Alligator mississippiensis: one gene and its partner. The protein of the gene in region 2 interacts with the protein of the main gene of each other region in a biochemical or structural test. Links are inferred from orthologs where the notes say so. Each region holds a gene or a part of one and is shown on either strand. Other genes may lie near its edges.

The links.
Region 1: the proteins of HIP1R (region 2) and CLTB form a complex in vitro, tested with the Homo sapiens proteins (2 studies listed by BioGRID). The link is inferred for Alligator mississippiensis from reciprocal best matches to the Homo sapiens genes HIP1R and CLTB.

Annotation. Positions count from the first base shown.
Region 1 is NC_081832.1:79,157,734-79,173,798, reverse strand, and holds CLTB (clathrin light chain B), read left to right. Parts: upstream 1-8,798; 5' UTR 8,799-8,897; coding exon 8,898-9,039; intron 9,040-9,167; coding exon 9,168-9,214; intron 9,215-9,519; coding exon 9,520-9,655; intron 9,656-9,766; coding exon 9,767-9,878; intron 9,879-10,162; coding exon 10,163-10,216; intron 10,217-10,612; coding exon 10,613-10,784; 3' UTR 10,785-12,169; downstream 12,170-16,065. Other genes in the region: FAF2 (FAS-associated factor 2), read right to left, coding at 8,379-8,441; HIGD2A (HIG1 domain family member 2A, mitochondrial), read right to left, coding at 15,386-15,606. UniProt on the Homo sapiens protein: Clathrin is the major protein of the polyhedral coat of coated pits and vesicles.
Region 2 is NC_081833.1:5,413,771-5,429,223, reverse strand, and holds the start of HIP1R (huntingtin-interacting protein 1-related protein), read right to left. Parts: upstream 6,561-15,453; 5' UTR 6,479-6,560; coding exon 6,386-6,478; intron 1-6,385. UniProt on the Homo sapiens protein: Component of clathrin-coated pits and vesicles, that may link the endocytic machinery to the actin cytoskeleton. Binds 3-phosphoinositides (via ENTH domain).

The DNA of each region.
Region 1 (16,065 bases), on a different chromosome or scaffold from region 2:
CACAAGAGCGCAGCAGTACTGTACTGGATGTTCTGACATGCTGAATCTGCATAACTTCTGAATGGGGACAAAAAGTCTTGCTGAAGCCACCATGCCTGTCGCTTTGCCAGAAACGCACCTCATTCCCCCCACCAACCACTACAAACTCTTCTAAAATACCTCGTGCTTTCAAACTGAACCCACTGCTCCAGCATCTAACTGCATTACTGTAAAGCACTGAACTCCAGGCTCGCAGCCCTGTCACTCAGGAAGAGTTGCATTTGTTATGAGTGACATCAGTAATGACACCAGTAACATGGAGATAAAGGGAGGCAGGATACCTTCTGCTTCACTTAGTCTCCTGCCATTTGGTAAGCAGGGAGCAAGACTATTTCCAAAAGCACTAGTTTCCCCTGGATGTGGGCAGATGAGGCTGATCTACCTCTCCACCTATATAGCATGTTTAAGCTAAGGCACCCTGGGTTCAGTCTGCCTCCCCCTTGTATAAGTCACATCAACCAGGTCATCCCTTGCAAGGCAAGTTTGGGACGCAATATTTCAGCTTCTGAAGACACATTTCTTTCCTACCACAGAGGCCAGAAAAGTTCACCAGACCCCCGGTGGCCTCATAATTTAGCCTCCTAGGCAAGGGTAGAGAGGGCAGATGCCAGGGAATTACACTGGTGAAAAGCCCATGTTCCTCACTCCTCCCCTTGGGTTATGGGATCCCATCAGGGTGCATGGGGATCCAGGCTCCCGGGGGCCACCTTTTGCACTTCTATCTACCAGGTATGTCTAGCTCCTGTGAATTCTGGCTGCTTGGTGCTGCAGTCCTGATGCTAAACTGGACCTTGTTTGTTGTGGAGGAAGCCGCCCAAGCAGAAGGGGTCTCTTAGCCAAACAGAACGAACACCGTGCCTCCCGCCGGAGTCCTGGCTGCGAACTCAGGGCAACAAGCTCTCTCAAACTCCCTTCCTATTTGGCACTTGAAAACAGTTTTGAGCCCTAAAGAGATTGGCCAAGGCCAGGGCACCTCTGCTCCCTGCTGCATTAGGGGCCCCTGGTATTCTGCGAGAGGCACATGCCCGGATTGGGATGGAGAAAGCAGGAATGCAACATCCACCCTTTCGGTCAGCCTCTGGAGACACCATCCACACTAGCCTGCTCTTGATATTCCTGCTTGGGTTTCCTTGAGATCTCCCCTCGTTTCCCAAGATCATTAGGAACGTGATGTTTGGCTGTTCAGCTGAGAACCTACTGGGAGGCTGGAGCTACAGTTTCCACATGGAAGAGGATGGTCCATGTACCAGGTGCTTGATTTTCTCCCCTCATTTCAGCATTTTGGATTCTACCTACACCTACTGGCTTCACCTGGACAGCAAAATCCCTGCTGGAGATTTAGTCCTGGGACCAGGTCAGGACTCTGCTCTGTACCTTGTGATCAATTTGTTTCACTTCCTTCCTCCTTCCAGCCCCATGACATTGCCTTCTCTCCCTCTTCTCTCCTGTCTACTGGACCAGAGACTCTTCTGCTTCACTCTCACTACCCCTCCCTGCTATTTGCCAGAGATCAGACCTTTCCCCAGCGTTAGAGAGAAAGGTACAGAAATTCAACTCTTCTGCCACTTAGACTGTGGTCAATTAAGAAGGAGAAGTTTCAGTCATAATGCACTCTGATTTATTCAGATGTACATCCGCAGCAGGGCCCTGAGCTGTGGTGTTTCATGTAAATCTGGTATTTCCAGCTGGTTTTCATTCTTGCTCGTACATCTTCAAGTCAAACTAGGCCTGCTTTGCTGCTGAAATATGCTCTCTGCTTTGCAGCAACTTTCACGACCACGAGGTATGTTTTAAGATCCCTTTTACAAGATTTGCTGTCACTGAATTACACTCAACATTTTCCTTGCCAGACTCCCAAGGGGCACCCTTGGCTGTCAGCTCGTACAGGTACACAACAAGCAGCTGTAAGGAAAGCGTGCATTCTGGATGCCCTTCCCAAACAATGACCCTGGGCAGGCACTAACATGCACACTGACCCTGGGCAAGCAAGCCATTCATGCAGCTGGGCTTTAGGAGGGAGAAGCTAAGACTTCCTACAGCATGTGTTGCAAAGCTCCTGATCACCACCTCTTTTAATGCCAGCGTTTGCACATTTACAAGATGCAGAAACACATTCACACCTTTGTCTCTACAGATCAGAGTCGCGACTAGGCACTGTTAACGAGGCTGCATGATGGAACATTCTCTCCATTTCTGAATTATGCAAATGCAGTTGCAGTTTCAGGCTGGAAAGCAATTATACACCACTGTCATTTTCTAACATTATCGCACTCAGTGAGCACTGAATCCTTGGGGCAGCTGTAGAGGCTTACAAAGCTGGTTAAGCAAGGCTTTGGCAAGCAGCGCTTCACCACATGGTTCCCTGGCCATCCCTCTGGCAGGACAGTTGTGTTCCTGGGTAAAGCTGGGGCCTTGTCCAAAGTGGCAGCTTCCAACAGTGTAGATTAGCCTACAGCACTGTTGCCTATGTCACCTAGGATGACTGCACGGCACAGGGCAGTGCCAGGCTGGGCATCTTAACAGCACTGAGGAGGCCTACCTTGACAGCTGCCCCAGACAGATTAGAAAGCATAGCGCCAAAGACACCCAAACACTGTCTGCATCAGTCCTCCCACCACTGCTGCACACAGGAAACCTGCCTGCTGGGAACAGTCCTCCAAACCTGGCTGCATAGGTGCGGCCTCCTATGCTGACCACGTCTGCTATCCCCTTACGAAGCAGCACTCACCGCCACGTTCAGGTGCTCATGAAATCAGCTCAGTGATGTTAAAAATATCTTCCCCTAGAGTTAGGAGCTGTATGACTACAGTTCAGTTGTCAGTCAAAAGCCATTTTTAAACAAATCTCACTGGCAAAGCATTAATACCATTTCTCTGAAGCTCTGGGAACCCTCTCTAGTTCACTCTTGCAGAGAGGCCACATAAGAAGCCTGAAGCAAGCAAGACACTTTAATTTGGACTTCACTCCTACGGTCCAGGGCTTTTTTCTGTGGACTGTACAATGGTCCACACCTGAAGGGCTTTCCTGCAAGCTCTACTAGCCACATGCAAGAAAAGATAAGCACATTTTTAAACATCCTTGGTTTTAAGCACTCAGTGATGTTCCTCTGTAAAGAGGAAATCACTACTTCTTTTGTGCCTACTTACCTACCTCAGATACCTTTACAGCTTCCATCACCGGAATATCTATGTGCAGTGTGTCTCGCGTTAAAGTCAGAGGATGGGCCCTTTTAGACCAGTTGTTTTACTTCTTACTCCATCTTTAGATAAATAGAGATAAGAAACTAATCCCAGAAAACCAGTATTGTCAGAGGGGCTCAAAAAGATCACCTCCATGTGGAATGGGAGCTCAAAAACTGACATACTGGGTAAGGGGCTTTCAAACACCAGAAGACCAAGAACAGTGAAACCCTATGCAACAAAACATAAGGACCTGAGAAGTTCAACATCTCTCTCTATACGTCACTTGGACTTTGGTACATTGAGATTGTTGTTATACTGCAAAGCAGGTTCATCCAGTTTGTACCTTTCAGCCTTAGGATGTCAATTAAAATACTGACACTTCACTCCGAAGCAGTGGAGAGAGGATGCTGATATTTGCTCAAGAGGGCAAGCATGAAAAGTATAGGTTTTGTACATTGGACTGTTTGGAAACTTCTCCTTCCCTGGACAGGCTTGCGTTGAAACACTACATAAAAGATGCGTGTCCATGCAGCCTACAACTGGCACTGCTATTAATTCCCAGCCCACTGCCAAATTCCAGAGAATTATGTTTCCAAGGGTGAAGAACATCTGACTTTTAGCAGCACAAAAGCCTTTGCCAAATCTTTTTCGGCGAGAGCTTCTTTGCGTGTCATAAACGTGCATACCAAAGATTCTGAGGTTTGCAGCAGCACCCGGCATATTAGAGGGGTTTGCTACTGAGTTTCCCTATTTCCCACCCCCTTAAGCGAAAGATGTCTTCACCTAGCGCTCCATTACTTGACTTTCAGTAATCATGATTCCAAGCAAATTAATCCCTCCCTCTCGCTCCCTTTAGTAGAGACTATATTCTTTTGTGCAAACTTCTCCTTGTTTCGCTGAAAATGAAGCTATCCCATGCCTGTGGAAGAAAGCCAGTGGTCAGTAGCATTACATTGCCACACAGAAGTTTAAATAAGTTGCAAGAGTCAAGCCAGAAATGCCATCATGGACACTGTACAGTGAGAGCCTACAATATCTGCTTCATGTTCCTTCTAGCTCCCATCACTCTGCACTGCTCAAGCCAATTCACACGTAGCTTTTCCCTACAGCTGTCCCAAGACACAGCCTTGTCAGAAAGCAAAACTTTACTTTCTCCTCCCAGTCACTGCTGCTGCAAAACACTAATTTCTCCCCTTGCCCCCTCCCCCATGCTTATTATCCCAATTCCATCTCTTCAAATTGTGCTTAGATACTTCTCACTCCTCAATCTCCCTCCCTCACTCTCTCGCATTCCTTCTGTTGTGCTGCAACGAGAACGCTGTTTAGGGCCTCAAATGCCAAACTCAACTCCTGCTGTACTACTCCCATCAAGCAATTCCTCTTCCCCTCACCAGCTCCCACACCCTTCACTCCTCTTCACTGTTGTCCTGCACCTCGTCCTGTTTACATCGTGAGTAGGGAATGCGCGTGTGCATGAAGTGCCTTGTAGCTCTACAGCACTACACAGAACTACTCGCTGTCCTTTACGTCTTCCCAGTGCTCTGCAGGCAACGTTCACAAACACTGAAGCTGGGTGCTGTGAGGTTTGTGGGACTTCTCCTTTGAGAAGTTCCTGCAGCCTCTGCAGCATTGTGCAAGCTGTCTGGGAAGAATTCATGGCTCTTTATAAAGATCACAAAGTAAGTGATACTAAAGCTGGGATTGAGAAGAGCTGGATTCATTGCCCAGAAAGATCTCAGTATTTTGTCCCTACTTCCTTTCAGTCCTCCCCCCCCTCATTAATACCCTTAGTCCACAGGTCCCTGCTCTGGTCCATTTTCTGCACTCCAAGGCAGCAGAAGGAAAGACGTGATCCTGACAGTTCCACTGTTGCTATTTTCACAGCCCTGTGGGCAGCAGTGAAAGTGGTAAGAGCAGCTGGTGCTATCTGTCCTGATTCAGCAAGGTAACAACGACAGTAACCTTTAACACTGGCTTCATATTTAGAAGGCAATATTGACAAACAGGATGGAATTCACATGACTAGAGTAAAGCTTTGTTTCTGCACAAACCAACAGCTGAATCACTTACACATGAAACATCTACACTTCCTTTTGAGCAGCAAGCGCTAATACTGTTTGTGACTTGGAAGTAGTTTACCCTGCACGGGGGCATCATTTAACACTAAAGGACACCTGACCAGACCTCTTCTGTGTACATGATCCAGAGGACTGAGAGTTGCCTACCACAGCCGTTGACAAAAACAAGTGAAGTTGAAAGAATCATTCACTTCAAGCAAAATGTTCTTGAAAAGAACTATGAATTCAAATGTTTATGAGCAGGGCAACTCCAAGACAGCACTGCCAAGACAATGGGCAGTACACAACTATGCAGTTAACCCAAACCACCCGAAGCTATAGGAATCAGCTGGGATCCTATGACCCCAGCTGACTTCCTGCCCTTTGGGCAGGGGCTGGACTTGATGATCTTCCAAGGTCCCTTCCAGCCCTAATGTCTATGAAATCTATGAATTCTGAAAACAACCAGAGTTGAGATATTTCAGCTCATTACTGAGCAGCAACACTTTAATTACCTCTTGTTCAGTTTACTCACCATCTGTCACAGTCCTCATGATAGTCTTTCAGCCTTAATGGCAGGTTAATAATTTCCAATTAAAAACTGCCTGAAAAACTGCTCAGAGGAAGAAATCCCTGTGGTCTCTGAGAACTGCACAAGCTGGGCCCAATACCTTTCAAGAGAAATTCAGTGTTCTCTCTGGAGAGACCACCATCTCTGTCTACTTATTTCCATAGTGCACATCACAGGGCAAACTGCCTCCATTGTACTCAAGCTGACAGTGAGGATGAGGAGGAGGATTTCTTGTGGGTTAAGTCCAGGACTGTGTGTGCAACAGTTGAGGTTTATTCTCCACCCTGACACATGCATGTTTTATGATGACTATTGCCTTTTTGTGTTGCAGCAAAAGTCAGAAATCGCTAGCATGCACCAGAACTCCACTGTGGCTGCTATGGGATGATCTGAAGTAAAAGAAACCCTCTGCCACACACACCTTACAATCAGAATGATCACATTTCTTGCATGACCTTAGGTAAGTCCCTCTCTCCTTTCCTGGGTTTCCCCTAAATAAAATGCACATAATTGTATTTACTTAGCCTACAAGGGGATTTTGAAATGTAATGAAGATGCGTAAAGCATCAAGTTCATCAGCAGTTAGTGACACAGAAAAGCAAATAATTAGTAGCAGCAGTTAAGCTTCAAACACCTACTGACCACTATGTGTTGGGACAGAGTAACTGAGAAACAGGAAAGGGTGCAGTAGAAGGAAGGACCATCTCTGAGGTCTAGAAGCATTAGCTCCATTGCTTTAAATGTTCCTGGCTCTGCAAAACAGTATGCATACAGAACGGCCATAAATACTGAATGGCATTTGAGGTCTGTCAGAGTGGGAAATACACCCTGGTCTGTCAAAGCCCCATCCCACACTTTAGCTTTACTGCTGCAACGTGGGTCTGAACAACGGCTCCAACCCAGCACCGCCTCGACGGTCACCCCGCTGCCAAGCAGCAGCTGCAGATGTGCTGAACCCGTCTGGAGACTCAGGAGGATTAGACTGAAAACATCGGTAGTCTGATCACAACTGGAATATCACCTTGATATATCACCCGGGATCTTCAACTCATGACTGGAGGCCCAAGGACCACGATTCATAGTAGTTACATGCTGTCACGCTGAGCACAGCGGAGATTAACAAACAGCTCAACCAACCACAAGTTATCTGCTTGGGTTACTGGGTGAAATGTTAGGTCTTTTGATCCACTCAAAGCCCTTAATTTAGATCAGTGGTTCTCAACCTTCACCCCTCGCTCGCTCTGACGCACTCATCCTTAGATCTGAGGCCCTGCGTGGAAGTTGCCAGCTCTTGCTTTTCATTCATCTTCTGAACACAGACAAACACCAGAGCCAATCTCCTGTCGCAAAATACACAACGGGGCACAAATATATTTCTGATCTCTTGATTCATTTGCAACAGAAGATTGGCTCCAATATTAATACATGTATTCTTGACACTCTGGGTTCCCGTTTGATGTCTCTGGTCTTCTGATACGCATCACGTTGCAAATTTTACCCCATGGTCAGACAGGCACGGACGACGGGGGTTTTAGCTTCCTCAGTAGCCGGGGGGGGCCCTTCCCTGGGATCGCTTGAGCATGTACTGACTGCGTCATCTCACGAGGTCTCTTCCAGCCCTAACCTTCTGCGAATCCGTAAACGTTTCATGGAAACGGGACGGTGGCTACTACGGGTCCCCTGCCATACCTGCACCAGGTTCGGGCGGGCTGCCTATGCTGCGCCCCGGTTAGGTTACCTGCAGTCCTGTGTCCACCTGCGGGCCCCCGCTGCAGAAAGGATGTGGACACGTTGGAGAGAGTCCAGTGGAGGGCATTGACAATGGTTGTGGGCTGGGGACAGGACTGGTGAGGAGCGGTTCAGGGAAATGGGCTGACTGAGTCTGCAGAAGGGAAGACTGAGGGGGGCTGAATAGCAGCTTCACCTCCCTGCCGGGGGGCTGCAAAGAGGATGGAGCTGGGCTGGTCTCAGTGGGGCAGATGCTGGACAAGGAGCGATGGGCTCCAGCTGCAGCGAGGGAAGTTGAGAGTGGATATGAGGACAGCACAGTCTCCAGGAGGGCGAAGCACTGGAGCAGGCTCCCCAGAGCGGTGGTGCGGTCTCCACCCTCGGAGGTGGTGAAACGGCGGGTAGACAAAGCCCTGGCCGGGCCGGGCCGGTCCTGCGTGGAGCGGGGCTGCGCTAGACGCGACTCCCGAGCTCCGCTCCCCTCCCCCTCCCGGCCCGTGACTGGATTGCGCAGGGCGGCCTGACGCTGCCTCGGCCCGCGCCGGAGTCGCTGCCGGCCGCGCTCCGAGCGGGCCAACCCCACGCGGCAGCCGGCGGCGGCAGAGGAGGCGCTGTGGGCCGGGCCGGGCCGGGCCGGGCACGTGCGCGCGGGGAGCGCGGCCCAGTCATGGGGGGAAGGCCCCAGCCCAGGGCCGCGTTGCCCCGGTAACCAGCGGCCAATCCCGGCGCTACAGACCCTGGGGGGCGGGGCCTTCCTGCTCCTCCCCCGCCCGGGCCCCGAGAGCGGCGCGGCCGCGGCACCTGGAACTGCAGCAGCTTCTCGGTCTGCTCCGCCGTCAGCTCCCGCTCCGCCGGCGCAGCCATTTTGCTACCGCCTCTTGACCCGCCGCTCCGTCACTCTCGGGAAGTGACGCTACACTTCCGGTCCTCTTTGACCCCCCCCCCCACGGCGGACGGGTCGCGGGAGGGCGTTCCTCCGCTCCCCTCGGCGTCGTTGCTCGGGGCTTTCCGAAGCGCTCCACGTGACCACCCGCCCGAAGCTGCTGGGAGGGTTCCGGAAACACCCGAGCGGTCCACGTGACCGCCCGCCCGAAGTCTCTGGGAGGTTTCCGGAAACACCCGAGCTATCCACGGTCACGTGACAGTACACCCGAAGCCGCTGGGAGGTTTCCGGAAGCGGCCGAAGGCTTCAGGCAGCCGTTGGCAGGGCTGGTGCGCGCGTGCCGCAGTCCCGCGCCGTGACGTCGCCCCCGGCCCCGCCCATGACGTCACGCCGGTGACGCCAGCGCGCGTCCCGGCCCCGCCCCGCCCGGCGCAGACATGGCCGAGGAGTTCGGGCTGTTCGCGGGCGCGGCCGAGGAGGACCCCGCCGCCGCCTTCCTGGCGCAGCAGGAGAGCGAGATCGCGGGCATCGAGGGCGACCCCGGGCCCGGGAGCAGCCCGGAGCCGCTGCACGAGGACGGTGGGCGGCGCGCTTGGGGCCGGGGCACGGCGGGGGCTGCCCGCGGGAGGGGGCCGGGCCCGGGGCCGGGGCCGGGGGGGGCGCCCTGCCCGCCGTGACCCGCCGCCTCTTCCCTCCCTCGCGTGCAGCCGGGGCGCCGGACGGGGCGACCGCGCTCAACGGAGACCTCTTCCAGGTACGAGCCGGGCTGAGCCGGGCGGGAGCGGCTCCAGCCTCGCCTCGCCCTGCCCTGACTCACGCGCCCGCCCCCGCCCCCGCCCCGCGCCCGCCGTGTCATCCTCGGGGTGCCGGCACCCCCACGGGCGGGGGGCGGCTGTGACATCACAGGGGTGTGATGTCACCAAGCCCCTCGTGGGCACCTGGGTTGTGTGGGCTGCCGCGGGGGGGGCACAGGCGAGCAGCCCCCTGCTTGTGGTGCTGGGGGAGGGAGAGCGAGCAGAGCCCGCTGCCCCGGGGGGCTGTGCTCACTCAGCGGGGCAGGGGGGCTGTGTCCCGCAGGAGTCCAACGGCCCCACGGACGCCTACGCCGCCATCGCCAAGGCGGACCGGCTGACCCAGGAGCCCGAGAGCCTCCGCAAGTGGAGGGAGGAGCAAAAGCAGCGGCTGCAGGAGCTGGGTGAGCACGGGGAAGGGGCGCGCGCAGGGTGCGGGAGCCAGCCTGCGCCCCCACCTCCCCCTGGGGCGGAGCCGCCCGCGCCGCCGTGACCGACTTCTGCCCCGGCCACAGACGCTGCCTCCAAGGTGCTGGAGCAGGAGTGGCGCGAGAGGGCCAAGAAGGACCTGGAGGAGTGGAACCTGCGGCAGGTTGAGCAGATGGAGAAGAACCGGGTTAACAACAGGTGTGGCCGGGGGGGAGGTGGGGACCTTCCTGGAGCAGGGAGGAGCCGTGCTTAGAAATAGGGGCATCTCTCCCCGTGCGAGGCCTCGTCCTGGGGGCCCGGGTCCTGCGTCAGCCCGACCCCACTGCCTGCCACGCAGGGGCCGGGCGTAGCCGGGGTCTCTGCTTGGTGGAGCGGGGCGTGCTCCTGCCGGCGGTGCGCGGGCACTAACACCTGCCCTCTCTGTCTGTCTAACCTGCCTGCCTGTCACTCTGCTACTTCTCTGTCTGCTGCTCCTGGGCTAGGATTGCTGACAAAGCCTTTTACCAGCAGCCGGACGCCGATGTGATTGGCTATGTGTACGTGCCCCTCTCTCTCGCTCTCTCCCTCTCTCTTTCTGTTTCTCTGTCCTTCCGGTTGGGGATTTCCCTCTGCCTGGTGTGGGGGTCTGCAGGGCTGTTGGGGTCTGGTGGGGGTGTCCATCCAGCACCTCCCACAGTGAAGTCCCCAGAAGCGAGTGGAGCTGCAAGGTGTGGAGGAAGGGGGTGAAGTGGCGGCTGCATGGGGGTTGCATTATGAGCCCACCCCCCTGGGGGGGGTCTCTGGGGTGGCAGAGGAGCCCTGGGCTTGTGCACCTGCCAGGAGCCTGTTCTTAACCAGACTGCAGAGCCCCTGTGCCCGAGGGATGGGGGGCATGGGGAAACGGGGGCATTGCGGGCAGTGGGCAGACAGTGGCTGACCCCCTTTCCCCACAGGGCCTCGGAGGAAGCCTTCCTGAAGGAGTCGAGGGAGGAGGACCCGGGCACGGAGTGGGAGAAGGTGGCGCAGCTCTGCGACTTCAACCCCAAGAGCAGCAAGCAGAACAAGGACGTCTCCCGCATGCGCTCGGTGCTCATCTCCCTCAAACAGACGCCCCTGGCGCGCTAGCCCAGCCGGAGCGCCGCAGGGGCACGGCCCCCCACCAGCTTGCCTGGATGCGCGCAGCATGTGGGGCCCGTGGTGGCCAGCAGGGGTGCTGCCCCCGCCGCGAGCACCTCCTGCGGGCGGGTGGCTGTCGCTGTCCCCCTGGTTTTCCTTTGCTTAAAGGGTGCGTTGGTCTTTTTACACTTATTTATTACCGTGGTGGTTCCCTCGGTGGTGGGTGGGGTGGCTGGGCTGGGGCTCCTCCCTGCCAGGCCCCTGTTGCAGGTACCCCCTCCCCAGCTGGTGCCTGGGCCCAGGCTGGCTGTGATGTTGGAGGTAGGAGTGTGACATCACCGTCTGCTTGCGGCTCAGCGCGTGAGGAATTGGGATGTGCAGGGCTGGGGCAGGGGCTTGGGTGGGCAGGAGGTCCTGGCCTGGCCTGGCCTGGGGTGGTGTGTGGGGGCTGGAGATGCTGAGCAGGGCAAGGGAGGAGCCTCCCCCAGGGAGCCTGTCCTCTGGGTCTCACTAAGAGCTTCCCGCCCCCTGGCTCCAGGCTGAATGGAGCTGCCTTGATGACTGCTGCTGTGAGGGGATGCTGAGCTTGGGTGGCTGACTCTTCCCAGCAAGGCTTTGGCCCCCTGCCCAAGCTCCTTGCTGGTAGCAGAGGCAGGTGCTGGCTCTGTGCTGGGTAGGTCTGACCCAACCCCTTGTGGCTCAGCCCCCAGCCCTGGGATCCCAGCCTGTGCTGAGGCCTGGTCCAGGAGCCTGAGATCTGCTCCCTGCTGGGCTGCGTAGACACCATATCACCTCTTGGGCATGTGCTCAGCCACCTGTCTGCAAGGACCTGGTGGGTGGGGAGGGCTGGGTACAGCTGGCAGGGAACTCGGGGCAAAGTCCACAGCACATGGGCTGAGCCTTGCCTTAGGAGACCCTCTCCAGCCCCACCCAGGCCAGCTCTGCAGGGCATTGGCTCTGGGGTGCAGGAGGCTGCTGGCTGGGTGTGGAGCTGCCCAGCAGGGCAGGACAGGAGTGTGCTACTTTGCACAGCTGGGGCTGAGCTGGTGCGGGGAGGAGGGGATGGCAGCCCACAGCTCTGCCTAGGCAGCTCTGCCTGCCCCTTTGCTGCTCCAGGGGCCAGAGAGTGGGGCCTACCTCACTCTTGCAGCTGCTGGCAGAGCCCCCTTCACTCTGTTCTGGGAAGCCCCAGGGAGGCTGTTGCTTGCGCCCCGCAGAGAGAAGGAGCCCCCAGGCTTCCCCAGCCGGCCCTGACTGCTGCTGTCACCTGGGAGAGAAGGGACACCTGGCTCTGGGGAGGGCTGTGCCTGTGGCTGTTCTGTGTGTCCCCAGCTTTGGTATCTGTGACCTTGTCCAAGCCACTTGTTACAAATAAACTGACAGCTCCAAACCCAGGAGGTGCTGCCCTTTCCTTCCTCACTCATTCCTCGTTCAGGCTGGAGGGGCAACTCGGAAGCAGCTGCTGTGCTGGGAGCCCACAGGCTTGCTGGCAAGTGGAGGCCGGGAGCCGGGTAAAGGAAAGGGTGGGAGTGGGGCGGGGGAGCTGGTTTCATAGTTGGTCGGGTCGGAAGGGACCTGAGCAGATCATCAAGTCCGACCCCCTGCCACGGGCAAAAAAGGATGCTGGGGTCAAATGACCCCGGCAAGGTGACTATCTAGCCTCCTTTTAAAGACCCCCAGGGTAGGAGCCAGCACCACTTCCCTTGGAAGTTGGTTCCAGATCCTAGCTGCCCTGACTGTGAAGTAGCGCCTCCTGATGTCTAGTCTGAGTCTACCCTCCATCAACTTATGGCTGTTATTCCTTGTTACTCCAGGTAGTGCTCAGGGGAGCAGGGACTCCCCCATTGCCTGCTGGTCTGCCTTTGTCTATTTATAGATGGCCACTAGATCCCCTCTCAGCCTTCTCTTGTGGAGGCTGAACAGGTTCAGGTCCTGTTGCCTCTCCTCCTGGGGCCTGCCCCCTTGTCATGCGGGTGGCACTCTAGACCCTCTCCATTCTGTCCACATCCCTCCTGAAGTGCGGTGCCCAGAACTGGACGCAGTACTCCAACTGCGGCCTGACCAGTACCGCACAGAGGGGGAGGATCACATTGGACTTGCTCGTGACGCATCTGTGGATGCCAACAAGGCCTTCCTGACCATGTCCCCATGCCGTCGGCCCATGTTCATCTTGGAGTCAATAATGATTCCAAGATCCCTTTCTGTCTCTGCACTGACGAGAAGGGAGTTCCCCAGCCTGTAGGTCTGCTGCTGATTCTTCCTCCCCAGGTGCAGCACCCTGCACTTGTCAGTGTTGAACCCATCCTGTTCTCATCCGCCCACCCCTGTAACCTGTCCCGGTCTGATTGCAGCCTGTCCCTCCCTTCTAGCGTGCCCACCTCCCCCCACATCTTAGTGTCATCTGCGAATTTGAACAAGGTGCTTTTCAGCCCCTTGTCCAAGTCGCTGATGAAGATGTTGAACAGTGCGGGTCCGAGGACCGAGCCCTGGGGGACCCCACTGCCCACAGCCCTCCAGGTTGAAAATGACCCGTCCACGACCGCTCTCTGGGTGCGGCCCTCCAGCCAGTTAGCGACCCATCTGACTGTAGGCATCAACGCCACAGTCACCTAGTTTATTAATGAGAAGGCCTTCCTGAAGTCCAGAAAGACTATGTCCGTCGCAACACCTGCATCTAAGGATTTTGTGACCTGGTCATGGAAGGCCACCAGGTTGGTCTAACAGGACCTGCCTCAAATGAACCCATCTCCCCTGCTTGCCCCTTGCAGATGTGCACCCAGATAATTAAAGAGCTTCCCCAAGACTGAGGTTAAGATTAACAGGCCTATAGTTTCCTGGGTCCTCCTTCCGCCCTTTTCCAGTCCTCTGGCACCACGAGTGCTCGTAAAGCCATGCCAGGGTTCCCGCAATGACCTCTGCTAATTCCCTCAGCACTCTGGGGTGGAGATCGTCAGGACCTGCTGATTTTGAACACATCTAGTCCCACCAGAAGTTCCCTGACTAGGTCCTGCAGAGGCCCCATTTACCTACTACCTTCTTTTTACTCCCTATGTATTTAAAAAAGGACTTCTTGTTGTCCTTGATCCGGGTCGCTAGTCCCAGTCCCATCTCCGCCTTGGCCTTCCTGACCGCCCCCTGCAGCCCCAAGCAACTGAGGTGTAGTCCTCCCTGGTGATGGCCCCTCTCTTCCATTGGGTGTACGTCTCCTATGATTCCTTTTGGCCCAATCCTCCAATTTGTCTAGTTCTCTCTGAATCCTAGCCCTACATTAGTGTATCTACTACTCCCCCCAGCTTGGTGTCATCTGCAAACTTGCTGACGGTGCACTCTATGCCATCTCAGAGCAGCCGATTAGCTCCAGGGCCTCTCATGGGGTTTGGGGCATGCTGTCCCTCTGGCAGAGTGGCTCAGAGCCTGGCTGGGCTGGACAGGAGCAGTGGCCCCTTGCCTGGAAGGGTGTCTGTGGTGCAGCTGCCTGGTGCAGTCTGTCCCTGGGAGAGGGGGGAGTGACGAAGCTGAAATACGAATGTCTTTCTGGAAGCGTTTATTATATGTTGCTTCTTCCTGGCTGAACCCGGATGCTCCTGCCCCTGGGGCCCAGCAGCTCTTCCCCAGACACAAAGGACACCGGTTCTGCGCAGCACCACGACTCCAGGGGAAACCTCCCACCGACCGGCAGGTTTCAGGGCTACGCAGAGGTGTTGCCCCAGGCAGGACTGGGCCCACCTGGCTGGCAGCATCACTACCCTTTGCTTTGCCCCTTTGCCCACCAGCACATCGCACTCCACTGCACACGCGCACTCCCCTCCCAGCGGGTCTGGCAGAAGAAGAGATTAATCGTAGCTCCTGGAGCTCTGACAGCGCTGGCTAGAGAAGGGTCCTCAGTAAGAGACTCCTACCCTTTTCTGGGACTCCTCCACTCAACAGCAAGCCCGGTCTAATGCACCTGCATAGACTTTATCACCTGGGGCATCTGCAGATGCAGGCAGGGCTGTTCCCTCTGGGATCTGAATTTGCAGAACAGTGTGGTCTAGTTCTCAAGCCATGGGGAGAAGTTTTATGCAGTGAAAATCCTGCTAGAAACTGGCAAAACCACCCTTAGGGACCCCACAGCAAGTGTGCCCCAGCTCAGGAGATGTCCCATCCGCACTAAGGGGGGACTGCATTGGCCACGTCCTATCTGCACTGCTAGGCCAAGGTGGGAGCAGGCCCCTGTCCTCATCCTCCATCCTACTTAAGGCCCTTTTGCTCTGCTGCACTGGGGCCAGACACTTGCTGCCACCTGCACTGCACTAGCCCCAAGCCCAAGTGGGAAGGGGGGGCACCTAACAGATCACACAGCCCACCACGGGACGCAATCGCTCGCTGGACAGCATCTAACCAGCCAGGAGGGCTGTCCCCTCCCGGCCAAAGGGTTTTGCTCCAATGTCCTTCTAACCCTCCATGTATGCCGCGATCCTGCATGGGTTCCCACGCGGCCTGCTGCCCGCTGGCGATGCCAGCCCGCTTTTATAAGACCAGGCGGGAAGGCCGTCCGGAGACGCTGCCACCCCGGAAAGGCCGAGTGCCGCTGGCGGCAAGAAAGCTCACGGCTCAGGCTTGGGGTTGAATCACGGAGGTGTATTGGCTGCAGCCGGGGCGGTCCCGGTGCCCACGGCTTGGCCTCCTCTCCCGGGTTTCAGAGCCGTGACCACCACCCCCACCATGAGGGCGGCGATGGTGAAGCCCTGCGCCAGGATCCGGGCCCGCATCATCAGCTGCGACTGCTGCCTGTCGCCCTTCTTGAAGCAGACGAGGCCGTAGGTCAGAGCCCCCAGGGTGCCCAGGCAGCCTGCGGGGACGCGGGAAGCAGGTGGGCAGGAGGCCGGAGCTGCCCCTTCACCCCGGGCTGGCCCCCCGCTCCACCCTGGGCTGCTCTCCGACCTCCGACCCCAGCCTGGGCTTCCCTCTGACCCTCCAATACTTCCCCCCCCCCCCACTTGTCCCAGCGGGGGTCAAGGGTCAGGGAGCTCTCTCTGGCCCCTCTGGACCTTCAAGCCCTCACCCCTCCGAGACTCCCCTCCCCCACCCTGAACTTCCCTCTGACCCTTGACCCCCCCCCGGGTTCTCTCTGACCCTTCAAACCCCCCCTCCCCTACCCTAGCCCTCCATCTGACCTTGACCCCCACCGGCGACTGCTCAGACCCTCGACCCCTCCGGCTCCCTAGGCGTGTCCCTGACCCTTGACCCCCACCACGGGCTTCGTCTGCCCTCCGGCCCTTGAACCCCACCCCGGGACCCCGATGACCCC
Region 2 (15,453 bases):
AACATCGCGCAGTGTGTTTGTGGCCCAAATAGCAGATTACATCAACAACTGCACTTAGATGATGGTGGGACTGCCTTTGGCTTCCTAAACCACTGACTTAGACACCCTCTCTTTTCTGTGCCTACCACTACTCTTGCAGTGCAAAACCACAGCAGAGCAGACAGCAAAATTAGAAGCTGATTCTTAGAAGGGCTGGGAGGAGCCCAGGGCTGCAGATACAACAACCTGACACCTGAAAGCAGGTCTTGAGGTTAGGCCCAGGATGGGGTGTCAGGGCCCCCTCCCCAACTCTGAAACATGTCCCGTGTATCTCTCGGCAAAAAATAGTTGTAGCTCAACTCCTCCAGCTGTGAAATGGGGATCATAACCACCAGCCTCCCAGCCAGGTTTCATCCCTTACCCTTTATCGAGTGCTTTGAGAGGCTTAGGTAAGAGGTGCCATACTAGGTCAGTGTTCGACTGGGCTGAAACCTCATATTTGCATAATCAATCAAATGGATATTAATGCTATGTTCATCCTTCCTAGATTTCCTCTAGCTGAGCCATGGATATCTTCCTGGATTCCTGCTTCCCCTACTAAGTGGTTCACTGGAGTCAGAGCCACCCCTCCCCTTTCTTTCCCTAATCAAGGCTGTGGTTGTACTGCAAATGGGGTCCACGTGTCCAGCAACTTTCCCCAATGGGCCAAGTCTATTACTCAGACCCAACAACCTACCCAACACAATGAGTACAGCTCACGACTATGGAGTGCAAATGAGAAAGGCCAGGTGCTCACCTCCCCTTTCTTTCATTCCAGGCGTCTAATTACCACCCAACGCTTCCACCCACATCCTGTCACCTGTTCTGCCCAGGGCAGGCACCACAGGCTCTGGAACAAGCCAGCCTGAGACACTGAAGTGCTATAGCCTTACACGGTGGAGGTGGACGTCCAGTCCCTGCAAGGCCATCCTCACGGTTTATTGTTGGTAGCCTAATATTGCTCTGTAAACCTTTCGCTGTAACTGGCACTGCATTTGCCAAATCGGCCCTGCCTCCAATGACCTCTTAAAAGCAAGCAAATTAAGGGATGTGATAAGCGACACCCGGGGAAACACACCCTGTATTCTGGAAATCTGCTTAGTTCATAGGACTTTCTAATTTAGCTGAGATGCTCATCCCCGACAGTGAAAGGAGTGCAAAAGTCAGTGGCAATACAAATATATTTCTGTCCCAGCTACACTTTAAAGCAGGAAACTAGGAGTCAGGATTCCTGGGTTTTATGCTCTTGGATGGTCCTGTATTACTGACATCTCCAGTGTGGGTGTGTGAAGACATGCCCTCTGGGTACATCTGGCCCAATGCATTGCTTTTCTTTTGGGGATGGGGACTGGAACCCCACAAACCTTCGGGTCAAAGGAACTCCTGCCCGAAATATTTCAAATTCAAATAGCCTCCCTGTGCCCTGCAAGCACTAACAGCCCAAACATCACATTGCTGAGCTAAGTGCACAAAACCCTGAAATGATGATCTTGGGTACAAGGAGCAAACAGCATGAAAAAATACTTCTATAAGTAGTATGAACTCCAAGAGGAGGAAGCTGGAGTTCCCAGCACCTGCTGGACTGGGCTGCACTATCCCATCTCACAGCTAGTGTTGGCTTTTAAAGTGCGTGTTCCTGCAAAGGGAGAAGACACCACAGGGGAATAGATATTATCCCGAAGGAAGTGACTCCGGATGAGCAACAGAGGCAGTCAGGAGAGGGACAGGCACCGCTCGGCTTTGTGCAAGGAAGAAATTTCATTATGAAACGGAAGGTGTGCTCAGGCCCCGGCGCCTGCATCCAAACAAGCTTCATTTCCATCAGGATGGCGTCATCTCCCTGTTGGCACCTGCTCCCAGCCGGTCTGGGCGGAGGATGCGTACAGCCAGTGACGGGAGAGGCCCCGTACCAGGAGGCGAGGAATGTATAATTTCCATTCCCAAATAATCTCAAAAGCCGGGAGGGGCCAATTGCTACAAGTTCCTGGAACCGATCACTCGGTTTCAGTCTCTCGATTGCAACGTCGGAATATTTGAGGGACACGCTCTTCAGCAAAAACCACCGGCTCTGCCTCCGGCCAATGCTTGCAAGAACACTGTCAAACCCGTGGCACAGCGAGGGGCACCGCCTGCTCCACGTGACACGCTGGAGCTCCACCTGACATAAAGTCAATAATTAGTCATTACTTACGGCAGCTGCTGAGATTAATGCTCTGAAGTTTTAGGATGCTGCCAACTTCTGATTCATGGAGCTCAGTCATTCATCCATAGGACGGTGAAGGGGCCTGGGCTGGTCAGGTCGTGGTACGAAGAAAGGAGGTCAGTTTTGTACAAGCGGTACCGGTATTAGCTAGAGACGTCTGGGATTTCCGAGCACAAATTTAACTGAGACACTTTCCTGCAGCTACCCTACTTACACCATCGTTTGCAGCAGCAATACATTTAAAGGGACCCCTGCACCTTCCAGACAGAACTAAGGTTTGATTTAACCATATGGGGCATCACTATCCATGCCCTTTGCAAGAGGATTACTATAGTGAAAACAATTTCTCAAGATACCTGTGTGTAGACACTAAATTAGGTTTATTTGCCAGAAAGTTATTTGGAAATCTGGTCCTACACAGACCAGTGGGCACACAAACAAAACTTCAATCCATCTGAAATCTAGCCAGTGTGGGATGAGTAATTTAGCTTTGGGCAGCAACCCGTCACGTCAGCTAATTACTGGGTTATGATTCTATTTTTCTGTTTCTCCCTCCCTTGCGTCTGGGTGTGAAACCCACACAAAGACTACAGGGGAAACCAAGGGAGTGACCCGATCCAACGGGACATCAGATGCACAAAATAGTAATAAAAAAATCATCAGGGGAATTTTCTCTCTCTGGTCTTACACTTACAGGGCAGAATTGCACCTTATAGGCGAAGTCTCCCCTGCCTTTCTGCCTGACTTCAGACTAACACAGCTAACTACTCTACCTCTTTCTGCTCCTAGGGTTGCAGCCGTTGTGGCAGACAGTCCTAACATTAAAGTTGGTCTGTTGCAGGGGAGAAAGATTTAGCAAGCAGTAAGCAGGCTAGGAAGCAACGCGGGGCATGGTGCCCACGATCTTTTAGACTGCTGGCTCTTTGGGGCGGGGGACGGACCTCTGCGTATGCCCGGCACAAAACACAGCCAGCACTGGAGCGCTGACTATTCCTAGCGATGGATGAGATTTTGGCCCCAGTGCCAGACCGAGGGTGCAGTGTTACTGTGATCGCATGACACCCCCCTGGACGGCTGGGAGCCAATACCCGGTGTGCACATCTAGGTCAGGCATACGGCAGTGTCTTGGGGTGACTGCACGTGCCTTACTGCACCCTCCGGCCCCAACAGCATCCCGATCCAGAGCAGAAGGGAGACTAGGAGGAAAGTAGCACCAGGGCTTTTGGTAGCTTTGCACGTCCATGGCACGTTGTTGCATGCCTTGCCTTCTCCAGGGCGTGGGGAACAGGCTACCTTGAGCAGGAATCCTGAAGACACAGCAGCCTATAGTCTGAAGCAGCAGGTCAGCTTAAAAGCAAACTGGGATCCATCGAGGCAAGGCCACGAGGCTGCGTGCATTATTCGCGGAGAAACCAACTAGCTACTTCCTTGTCTGAGAAGGATTTGATTGCTCTACAGATCTTTCTGCAGAGCTGCCCAGGGAGGGGAAGGAAGCAGGTTTGCACACCGCAGGGCAGACCGGCCTGTTTGCAGCACATGAGAAGCAGTAGAAATGACAGCCCTGTCCATGACTAGCTGCTGCAGGAGCGCTCAGTCCTCACCTCCCGCCCTGCCTCTCTGTGGCCTCCCCCTCCCATTCACAGTGCTTTGGGCCATCCTGCCTGCCACCTGAGATCAAATGACTGCTGCAGTTATTTTCTTAAATGAAAAGGAGGCAGAAATGCTCCCAGACTTGCCCCATATCCCCCAGGTGCAAAGCATTGGGAAGCCAGGCATCCCCACCTATTTTTGCTCCTGCTCTTCCCTCTCTCAGTCACTTGGCACAAGGAGGGCGCCTAACTCCCTTGCACTTTCACAATGACCAGAGTGGCTCCATTTAACATCCTGGACCTTTCCCTCCCAGAGGGCACCCTCGATAGGCTCAAGAGTGGAACAAACCAGGGTTTGTGTGCTTAGTCTACAGAAACGAGCGGCTTATGGTACGGCAGGATGGGACAGCCTCCTTTTTAAGTAGGGTGATCGTGGCAGGGCAGGACCAAAGTCACTGGAAGGGCAGCTCGCAGCACACTCACCTGAGCTGCTTTGTGGGGAGACAGACTACTGGTTCAGCAATCTTTACTGCTGCTGCTCCCTTAACCTTCAGAGGCCCAGCTGTGTGCCAAAGGATCAGGTGTCCCTTGTCAGGCCGGTGCCATAAAACTTTCTATTCGGTAATTTGCTCACATCTGGAGCTTTTGCCCAGGAGATAACACCACTGGAAAATATCCTCCGCGGGGCTGACTCTGTTCTCTTGGGCGATCCTTTCAAATGATATAGCCACCGGCATCAGTGACAAGTGAGCCAAGAGCCCCAACTTAACATGGGGAGGAGCTGCGTTCGTGCGCAGGGGAAAAGACACTCCTCTCCTGGAACCTGAGTTACGGGGGAACGGTTTGGTTTTGCAACAAGGGCGGAGGGCTGGAGGGAAGCTACGCGGCTCAGCTCGAGCCACCGTTTCACGTGACTGTTGCTTAAACTTAAATCGACGTCACATTTGTACACGCGATTATTCCGCTCGAGCCAAAGCCAAACAAGCAAGCAAACATGGCTGCCCCATCACCGAGACATCCCGGAAAGACGCAAAATCCAGGGTCACAAAGCGAGCGACGGGCAGGGGCAGAGTCCTCTCTAATCAGCACCGCAACCGGCACAACCAGGTTTGCTTATTGGGAACCGCTCTGTCAACATGAAGGGAAAGGGGATTCTCCCCCAAGCCCAAGCAGCACCACGAGCCCCGATTCAGGAACGCACATGGGCACTTTGCTTTTGTGCATCATCCGCAGAGCTATTTACGCACGTCCAGGAGGAGTAATTATGCTTTTCTACACCAGTATGTGCACTAGCAAGGCCTTAACGATATGGATGCTTTTGTCCACATTTTGTAACTGCCCTTATGCTTAGCGTTGAAATATTTTTCAAAAGCCTTGTATTCTACCTTATGGATTGTAACCGGACTGATCTCTTAATTATCTGAGATGTGGACAAACGTTGGATTTTGACTGGCGCACGGATAGCCGACATGACTTACGAAGGCAGCACGCAGGCAGCCAAGTTAGAAATGACAGCCTCTTGTTCAGCGATAGAAGGGAAAACTCTCAGCAAACTTAGGTTGCGTAAAACTATTTGATCCCATTGGTGTCCTTTTTAGGCTGCAGCCGGCCTTTCTTGACCACTGCGCAGTTCACAGCTCTCCATCTTCGGCAGAACTGCAGCGAACGTGGCTACCAGCACGGATCTCCCCCCCAGCAAATCCAACAGACTTGCCGTGAACAAGTGCTCTCTCTGTACTTGGTTAAAGGCATGACACGACCAGCTGTCCCACCCATAACACGACCGGCCCACACATCGGGCCTGTTAAAGCTCTTCTCCAAAATGACCCAAAAACATGAGTCCCGACAGGCTGCTTCTCCACCGAACGTAAGCTGAGAAACACAACTGCAAATCCACAGGCGTTTCTACCCCTGAGTTTTAAGCTGTCAAGGGCGTACAAGAGAGGTGGGCAAATAGTTCATCTGCAGCCAAGGGGAAGGCCCAGGTAGATTTGCACCTTACAGACTAACCAAAGTAGACAGATGCTTTGGTTAGTCAACGAGTCTACAGACGTGCCCGGCCTCCTCAGTGCTGGCTGTGCCCAGGAGGACACGGGGGCCGAGCCACCTCCTCGGGCAGCAGGAGACCCACCGCGAGTGCCCGGGATCGCTCTACTCTGGTAGACGACAGCGTCTCAAGCCCGCACTGTTGGTCTAATAAAAGAGATCACATGGACCCAAAGAACCTCGCCTGCCTGTGTCCTCAGCCCAACACGGCGACAACCAATGCCCCCCACACCTGTTTCTACTCCTCTCCCTCAAGTCGGGTTAGTCTACAAGGTACAAATGCACCCTTTCCTGACCGGAGACTAACTCTACCTCGCGCAGAAGAAAACCGCGCCGCGCCTGGTCAGGTGCCAACGGACCCCGGGCTAGCCAGCGGCCAGCCAACCTGCCCTCGGTGCCCGGGGGCCAGCCGCCTCCCAGGGGAGCAGGACACCCGCTCGAGAGGCGCCGGGGCGCGGGGCTGGAAGGGACCTCGTGGCCCGGGGGGCCGAGCCCACGTGCGGGAGGCCGAGGAGCGCGGGGGCCTTGCCTGGTTGCGGTCGAACTGCTCGCGCTCCGCCTCCAGGCTGTGTCCGACGCGGCGGCTCAGCACCCGCGCCGGCACGCTCTTGATGCTGTTCATGGCGGCGGCTCGGCTCCGTCCCGCTCCGCTCCGCTCCCGCCGCGGCTCCTGCGGCCGAGCCCGGCAGCGCACAGCGCCCCCCGCTCCGCTCCGCTCCGCCCCGCCCCGCCCGCGCCCGGCTCCGCCCGCCCTTCCCCTCCCTCCTCCGGGAGGAGCCAGGGCAGCGCTGCCTCGGGCTCGCGGGGACAAGGCTCCCGCCCGCGCCCGCCTGTGCTGGGAAGGGCACAAAACCTCCACGCTCGCCCGTGAAAGGCACTGTCTGCACAAGGCAACGGGGACTCGCAGCAGAGAGGAGATCTGCTAGTAGACAAGGATTTTTGCAAAAATCTTGCAGTTACATTTTTGCCATTAAAGACCCTTTTTTTTCTTGCAAAAATCTTACAATTCAATTTTTGCAATTAAAGGGTTTTTTTTTTGGCAAAAATCTTGCAATTCAATTTTTGCAATGAAAGCCTTTTTTTTGCAAAACTCTTGTTGGTCTAACAAAAGATCTCATCTCTACTACGAGTCCCAATTACCTTTTCCTCTAGACCAATATGGCTTCAACCTGGATACCGGACATATGAAGGATACTGAATTTTAGCCGATTTAGAAAAAATGAAAATCTTCATATTTTCCCCAAGCAGGAAGCAACTCTGACCACCTGAAACCGGAGATCCTGCTCCTGCCTGTTTCAAGGTAATTTGCATCATGACATCCTCACAGGAGGTGAGAGGCTTCATACCAGCTATGAGCAGACTGCCCCGAGGAGTCCTATGAAATATGAATTTTCATTTCAACCCAGGAGAACGTTTACAATCCTTTCTCCAATGCCTGATGAAGGGTGTTTGTGCCCGAAAGCTTGCAATTGAAGACATCTTTTTGTTTTGCAAAAATCTAGCTGGTCTAATAAAAGATCATCTCTACTTGGAGTCCCGATTGCCTTCTGTTCTAGACCAACATGGCTACAACCCAGACATCTGACTGTCTGTATAAGAACCCCCCTCCAACCCCATTCAGCCACTGCAGCCTGTAGGGACAGGGCGTTTACCAAGGAAAAAGCCCGAGCAAGAGCACAGGAGGTGCTGAGCGGTGCAGCAGAGAACAGGTGCCCAGCACCTCCAGCATGGGCAGTCTAGGATTGGGAAAGGAGCTGCAGATGCATCACCTCAGAGGGTGCAGCACCTGTTTCTCTCTGGGGGAAAAATAAACTAGAAGGTTAATTCGTATGCCAGCGGCCTAGGGCCGGATGACTGAGTTTCACATGGAAGCAAAAAGCCAAATAAAACTTCCTTGGAATGAGTTCTCCCGGGCTGTGAAATTGGAGCTGTGTTGCCAGGAGCAGCAAACAGACAGCAGCACGGCAGAAGAAAAGCTCTCTTAATGGGGGCACATCAAGACCACTGAAAGAAGGGAGGGTAGTTCATACCAGCGGAATGAAGAGTTTAGAAGGAAGCAGGTCGATTTTCACAAGCCATGAATTCAGCTGATGCCCTCACAGCTGCCTGAGCAGAAATGCTGCTGCTACTGCCAGGCAGGTGGTTTTCAGCTTCGGAGCAGGAGTCGAGGGGGATGCAGTTGCACCCCTTGGCTCTATGTGCTATGGCAGGGTGAATGGTGAGCCTAGGTGAAATAATGAAGTGACCCACATGGTTTAAAAAAATTACCACCATGGAGGTTTTCCATTTTCAGGTTCTTGTCCTAAACCCGTTACCTTTGGATCTGAGCTCTTGAGTGGGGTATTTTTAAACGAGGGAGTCATGCTGTCCTCTGGGGACAGTAGGTAAATTCCTGAGGACTACCCACTCTCCACCACAGGTTTTTTTGTCTGAAAATTCACCAAGATGACAGTTGTAGAGTTCACCGACTGTTCCTCTCTGGGGGAATCACAGAGGGGAATGATAGATCTTCGCCTGTGTCCAGCTCAGAGCAGACATGAGGCAGGGCTCTTACTGCAGAGTGAATTGTGAGCACAGGCAAGGACAAACCAGTCAGCACCAGTTCAGGTTGCTCTGTTAAAAGGCAGGGTGTGCTGCAGACGTGAGAGCTGCTTTGCTTGACCTCCCCAATTGTGATCGCAAATCCTTCCATTTCTTTTGTGGGGAAACTGGCCTGAGTTTCCCCACAAAAGCAGTTCTGCGACATGTGGAAAAGTACCGCAGACCTTGGTAGCACTCAGCTTGGGCAGAGATTTTGTCCTTCAACTGAATTTGTTGAGTCTTTTTTTTTTGCTAAAAAAAAAAAAGGTTGAATATTGCCAGTCAGTTGGAGGTAATTTAGATTTCTTATGGTGTGCTTTTATAAAGAGGTATCTAGCCACCAATATCTCTGGGTGCTGCATACACATCTACAAAGAGCCGTGCTAAACACAGTTCACACTCGATTGCAACCGACATCCAATGCAAACAGGAATCACATAACAACAGCGCAAGCAGTTCCACACATGCTTGACGTGTGCCCAACGCAGCTTACCATTTCTGCGCTCACAACCAGCAGAGCAGACGCGAGCACAGGGATTTCCCTCCTGACTCGTTTATTTTGCCTATTAGCAGCTCTTCACAGTTTCCATGACAGACACTGATTTTTTTCATGACTGCTTTGCAAGTGAACTACAAGAGAAAAACTTGTTAGACCCAGCTGATACGCTGTTACCATCTACGCACAGAAGTCAGAGAAGAAAAACTTTCTGAATTGCACTTATCCTACTGGTCTTCCTGAGACAGGATTAATTAGCAATACTACACGTGCACTGCGTATGTTTGAGCTGTTCCGATCACTTCTACCATCCTGTAGTCACGTGTTGTCAGACATCTGAGCACTGCTATCGGTTACATAGCAGCTTTCTTTAGGAGCTGAGAGACTTGACCCCAAGGATGTCAGTAGCAGGACTCCAGTTAAGGACAAAGATGATGCGCGAGACGATTAATTTGTCTGTCTTCACTGTATAACTGGTAATTCCGCCGAGGGTGTATCAGCTTCTCTATTGGATGGCCTTCCTATAAAAGAAGCACACTTTTTGATTATCAACTTTGTTTCTCTATACCGTCTACATTAATGGAAAGTGTACACACTACTAAAAAGAGAGATGAACCTCTCTGCTACCTGCTTCCCTCCTATAATTAGACAGGCCGAACCCAAGAGAACACCTCTGCCCAAGCTGAAAGCAGGCAGCTGTTAAATGGAAGCCTTGTTTCCTTTAATAACAGTATAGTCTATGAAGACAATAGAAAAGGCACACCCTGACTTTGTCATGTTTCCAAAAATAAGTCCCATTCTTAGCTGGCTGATATAGTTTGACTTTCCATACAAAGCCTCAGAGCACAGTTGATAACAGGGTTGTTTTGTACATTAGGTAATATGCTGATACTTTAACCCTAACTTCCCACCTCTTGCAGTTGTCGGGCATTGCAGTTCTCCTGTGCCTCAACAAGCGATGTTCTGAAGTAGATTAAAGATACAGTGGCAAGGAGGTGGGAGAGGTGACAGCTCTGTAAAAAGCATGCAGGGTACAACCATAGCGCTAACCTCCTGCAAGTTTTCTATATCCAGTTTTTTAATCCATTTACTAAATAGTTACATAACACTGCAGGTAACGTAAAAGGTTATGCTCATTTAAAATACACTTGAAGTGCTTATATTTTTTCACCTTCTCTTAATGAGTTAGGCAGATATAAAACACTTCTACACTGATAAAGTATGTGGCAAAAGTTGCATTTATCTGACCTACCAGGAACCCATCAGGGTAAAACCTGTGTATAAACCATACAATAGCGCTAGCTGTGTGGTTTTAGTGCTTATGCGCTTTGCCCTCCTGTGCCCCACTGTAATCAGTTAACAATAACCCTTGAAAATGGGGTCTAGATCACTTAACAGTGGTAGTGGGGGAGTACAGAGGAAGGAGGGAGGTACTGACTTCACAAGTGAATTTGGAAGACTGCTTAAAACTCATCCTCTGCACAGGTGCAATCGAGAAGCAGGGACTCCTGCCTCCTGCCAGGGAGGCAGATACAGCCACGAAGCATGCAGGCTAGTCTGGAAACCTACATCACACGTCCTACAGAGCCTTAGTAAAATAAGCATGTGTCAAGTATGAAATGAAGATATGCAGGCAAGACATTAAGTAGCAAATGTATCGTGTTTATTAGCTCATATGGCCTTTTATGTTCAAATTATTTTCAGAACATTTCAGGTCTTGAGAGACTGAAGATAAGAAAAATAGAGTTAACCTACTTAAAAGAGCTGTGTACCTTAAATAATGGCTGTTGTCATAGCCTACTAAAAAGTCTATACAAACATCTGAGCTAATAAGAACCTTTTGTTACAATAAATAGCCCAGGACCAGGGGAGGGTTATTTTGCTCATTCTGTGGATGAAGGTTCTCCAGTTTCAGCATCGTAGGAGGCATTTCCTGGTTGCAACACTAATTAGCAATTTCCCCAAAACATTATTCAATGCCTCCTTAGGCGGCAACGGTCCAGAATAAAACAATTGGTTTAAAAAAAAAAAAAAAGTGAACACTGGTGTGTCACATAACCATTAAAAAGGTAAACCCCCCCCCCCCGACTTGTTTTGGTTTAAAAAGCAACCCCTTTGTGGAATAAACAATTACATATTTTACAGTCTTGCTTATAGGCAGTAAGCTACCCTTTAACCTGAGGATGGATTTCACAAAGGGAGTTGTTTGTGCTGGCATAATTCAGAGCTCTGCTTCACAAACACATTAGCTTCCAGCATGCAGTCACAGCTTTTTGGCACCCGGGAAACTTGCAAATACAGTACTCTTCAGAGGCACAGGCAAATGTTAAGCAATTGTCCCCTGTAGTGCATACGTGGTGACGATCTTCAGTTCTCAAAGCTTGTGGCAATGCATCAGGACGTCTCCCATGTTCCTTCCAAAGGGTGCCATTTTCTTGCTTTCCAGACAACAGGAAAGCAATCTGGTTGACAGAAGGGGAAAAAAACCTCATTTAAAACCATTGGAAAGTTACCAGTAACTCTTTTTTTAGGTTACAAATCCTCATTTCCTTTTGGGAGCGTAATAGAAATGGCAATAAAGACAAAATAGATAATACATTCATGTCCAGAGAGGAGCCCCCATGAGCAGGCTTCCTTCGGGACATCACAGGCATGTTGCTAAAAAAGCTCTTTCCACCTCTGCGTTACCTCTGAGCAGATCAGCAATTCTCACATTGCACAAGGCCAATTCCTTTTACCCTTTGACACCAGGACAGTCAGGATTTACAAGCAGTGGCACATGCCATAGCTGCCAAAGGAGTTCTAGCACCATTTTGCAATTGCTTTCACCTTTCTGGGGCTTCAAGACTCCCTCCAAATCACTCTCTCATCTAGAGGAAAGGATATGACTGAGAGTGCCAAAAACTGGCAGTCAGAGAGGAAAGTAACCTCTACAACTTATACAGCACCTTCCACTTGAGCATTTCAAAGCAATGTAAAAGTAATTGTACAAATAAATGTTTCACTCATCCCTGGGCTTATGGTGGACTTTTTGTGAAGATTCCTTTTGATTTAGTTATGCACATTTCTACCAGAGACTTCAGTGGTAACTCAAATGAATTCTGCAATAGCTGGTGGGGTATTCCTTAAGAATGCACAGCGATTTGCAGGCAAGTCCTTTTCTTTTTGGTCTGTCTGGCTTTTTCCTGGCTGAAGGCACTGAGGTCATCCATGTAAAGTTAGACACTTTATGGATCAGGACTATGGTGTTCAGCATCCCTCAGGACTGAGACCCATACCTGGTACCCCTAGAGCCAGCCTTGTTTCCAGCTCGTTTTTGGATACAAATTAAGGTGTTGCTTTTAATCCCTATTGTCCTTACTCGGTTAGGTATCCTATCTGCATCAGGGCTTGTCTCCACAGGGAAGGTACTGAGAAATAAGCTAGGGTAGGTATACCATGAGTATAGAGTCAGCAGAAGAAGCAGCTTCACATTTATGGCACAGTAAGAGTCCAGCCAAGGAGTTAGCCAGGAGTAACTAGTACTCCATAAATTCATACCCTATCTTACTGCCGAATCATTCCCGCATGTAAACAAGTCCTTTGTGCTTAGCAAGCTTTAGTTTGAAACTGCAGGACACAAGGTACTTCAGCATAACTCCTTGAACAAGCTTAGTGTCCACATAATGTCCAGGGTAACTTAGATTACCTGATCCAGAGGCACTCTCAGCCTGAACGTGCAGTGCGTACTGAGCATTTGCAAAGAGAAGATTCACATCCTTATTGTATGCCATCTTTCCTAGGCAGACAAACATTCTGATACATGTAACATGAGGGGAGTTTTTGCCAACTTTTTCCTATGGGGCCAAACCTGATTCAGGTCAGGATGGCTGCTAGCGTTTTAATCACATCTCGCCCATGAGCACAGGTCTCAACAACATGATGCCTAAAATGCCTTTTGCATGTGCTGTTTCCACTAATTTTCCAACTAGTGAAGTTAGACTGGTGGCAGCAATAGAGGAAGTTGTTTTGATCAAAAAACCCAACCAACTGTGGACAAGACTTTGAGGCAGCGCCTCTGTATCCTCATACTTAAGATCAGCTCTTTTCAACTGTCTCTGGGTTTGGAGACCTGGGGGCTGGAAACAGGATGTGTCTGGCAGTCATTCCACCATGTTTATCCAATGCCCCAGGCCATGATCCTATAATTTGCTGCATGTGGAAGACCTGACATACCTTCACTTCACACGGCTTTGAAGAGGCACGGCACACAATCCACGTGGAAGAAACGGCAGACTGGGACTTCAAGCTGCAAGACCTCAATGGTCAGACTTTCTGAGGGGAATACTTGAGGAGATTTTTGTTCTTGATTGACTTAGGAGTTATTGGGTGCATTATCTAACATCCGCTTGCTACTATATTGTCTCATTTATATGGATTTTATTGTGAAAACACTTGAAGCCTTGTGTCAAGGCCCATCTGCAGTGGATAAATCTGTAGTTTTATTAGCACTGCAGGTAGGTTTGCAAAAAAGTTCAAAGCAAACAGCAAGACAGAAAAAACAGACTTACTCAAGGTCATAATGAAAACAGTGAAAGCTTGGACTTGCTTTCTTCAGCAGCTGGCAGTTGCGCTTTGCAAAGAGCTTCTGTAATTTCTATAGCCTGTAACACAAACAAGACAGACACCCTACGTACAGATGTACAGACTTCATGGTGGATCATAAACACTAATGTTACTGCAGAGTTCTAACTGGAAACAGTAATAATTATAGGCTCCCTACCCCAGGCTCCTTTTTCTGTCTCACTTGAGAGATGGCACACACATTATTCAACCCCATCTGAACACTGTGCAGCTGAGATGGCACAAAATACAATGTTATGTTATAGAGACTCTTTCATATAAGTCACTGATACAGTTACAATGTAATGATTAAAACTGTGGCAGCGGAGTCAAACTGAGAAGTAAAAGGCTCAAGAAAAGAACGATTTGCAAAAAGATGGCCTCACTGATGTCTAGAAAAATATAATAATCTCCAACCATTAGTATACAGCTATAGCACTTGCTCCTGCTGATGGAAGAAAATAACTGAACCCATTAGAGAACATAACCCAGCAGAAACAAACCTCCCATAGCCAAATGCTTATGTTGGGCTGGTGTCAAACCATGCCTCAAATTGTTTCAGAACCAGTTTAACACAGCCTCTCGTGCCATCAATTTTCACACAAATTAGCTGACTGGGGCAGACTGGGCAAAAACCTGTTAAACTCGTTTTGGGTACTTTTTTGACAGAAAGGAGAGAAAAATATTTTAAAACTAGACTAAAGTTGCATTGTTTGTTCTACAGCCACCAAAACAACGGTGCCAACTGGAGAGCCTCTTTCACAAGTCAAACGTGTCAATACTCTGTAGACAGAATGGGATACCTTAAATCATAAACAACTGTGATAACCGCACACAGATTTTTTCATGGACTGTCATTAAAACTTAACTCATTATCCTTAATCCTACAGTGAACGAGTTAATGAAAATATAGAAAACCTAACCCTACTTATGCTGACTCTTATTTATACCCATATAAAAACCATATGCATATCAGATACCACTTCTCCATCCACAAGTGTACACAGATTAAATAGGCTAATTCTCTGTTGTCCTTTGCTTCTACTTCTCGCACAGCTTTTTCACTTGGACACTCACACTAAGGTCTACTGGGACCTGGGGAAGTTTTTGGGGTTGCAAGAAGGGGAAAAATTTGGCTCAGACACTTTACTGTCAAGTATGCAATAATTTCCTCATCAGCAAAGTGCTGGGAGTACATTGTTTATAGTGTCATGATGCAGGTCAAGCCAAAGGAAAGGAATGTTCACAGTAACTTCCCCACATCGCCCATATGAAAAGATTAAATACCGTATTAACACAACTGCTGTTGGGAGTGCAACCAGGGCTATCGTGGAGGAGGCGGCTAAGCTCCAGATCGGCAACCATCTGTCGAGACTCAGCCAGCAAACGTTGCAGCCTGCTTGTTGGTGAACAGGAGTCCTGGAAGAAACAGAAATTGAATCAAAGTTATTGGGTGACTGCTTTGGAATGGATTCACTATGAAACATGAACTGCTGCCATTTACATTTTTTACTTTAACCTCTACCTTTGAAGTACCTTGCACTGCACAGCACTTTTGCAGACTCTGTTATTACCAGTTTAATTCTTAGTATTTTTATTAAAAGGTCTGTGCAGTTGCACATCACCATGGCTGGAGGCAACTAGGAGACAAAAGCTAGCAATCCCAACTGAAGAGGCAGCAAACTTATTTACAGTTTAAACAAGGAAATTTGTCTTGGCAGCTGCTAAAAGGGCAGCCAGCTGGTTTTAACTCCAAATGCCATTGCTGGCCTCCTCCTCTATTTTCCATACTCATGTAAATACATCTCTATCTCTAGGATTAGACAGGCCTAATTCTTAGCTCTAGATCTTAATCTTATGTCTATTAATTCTTCAGGGTGAGCCTAAAACATGCTGCATAAGGTGCTGTGCAGGGCTGT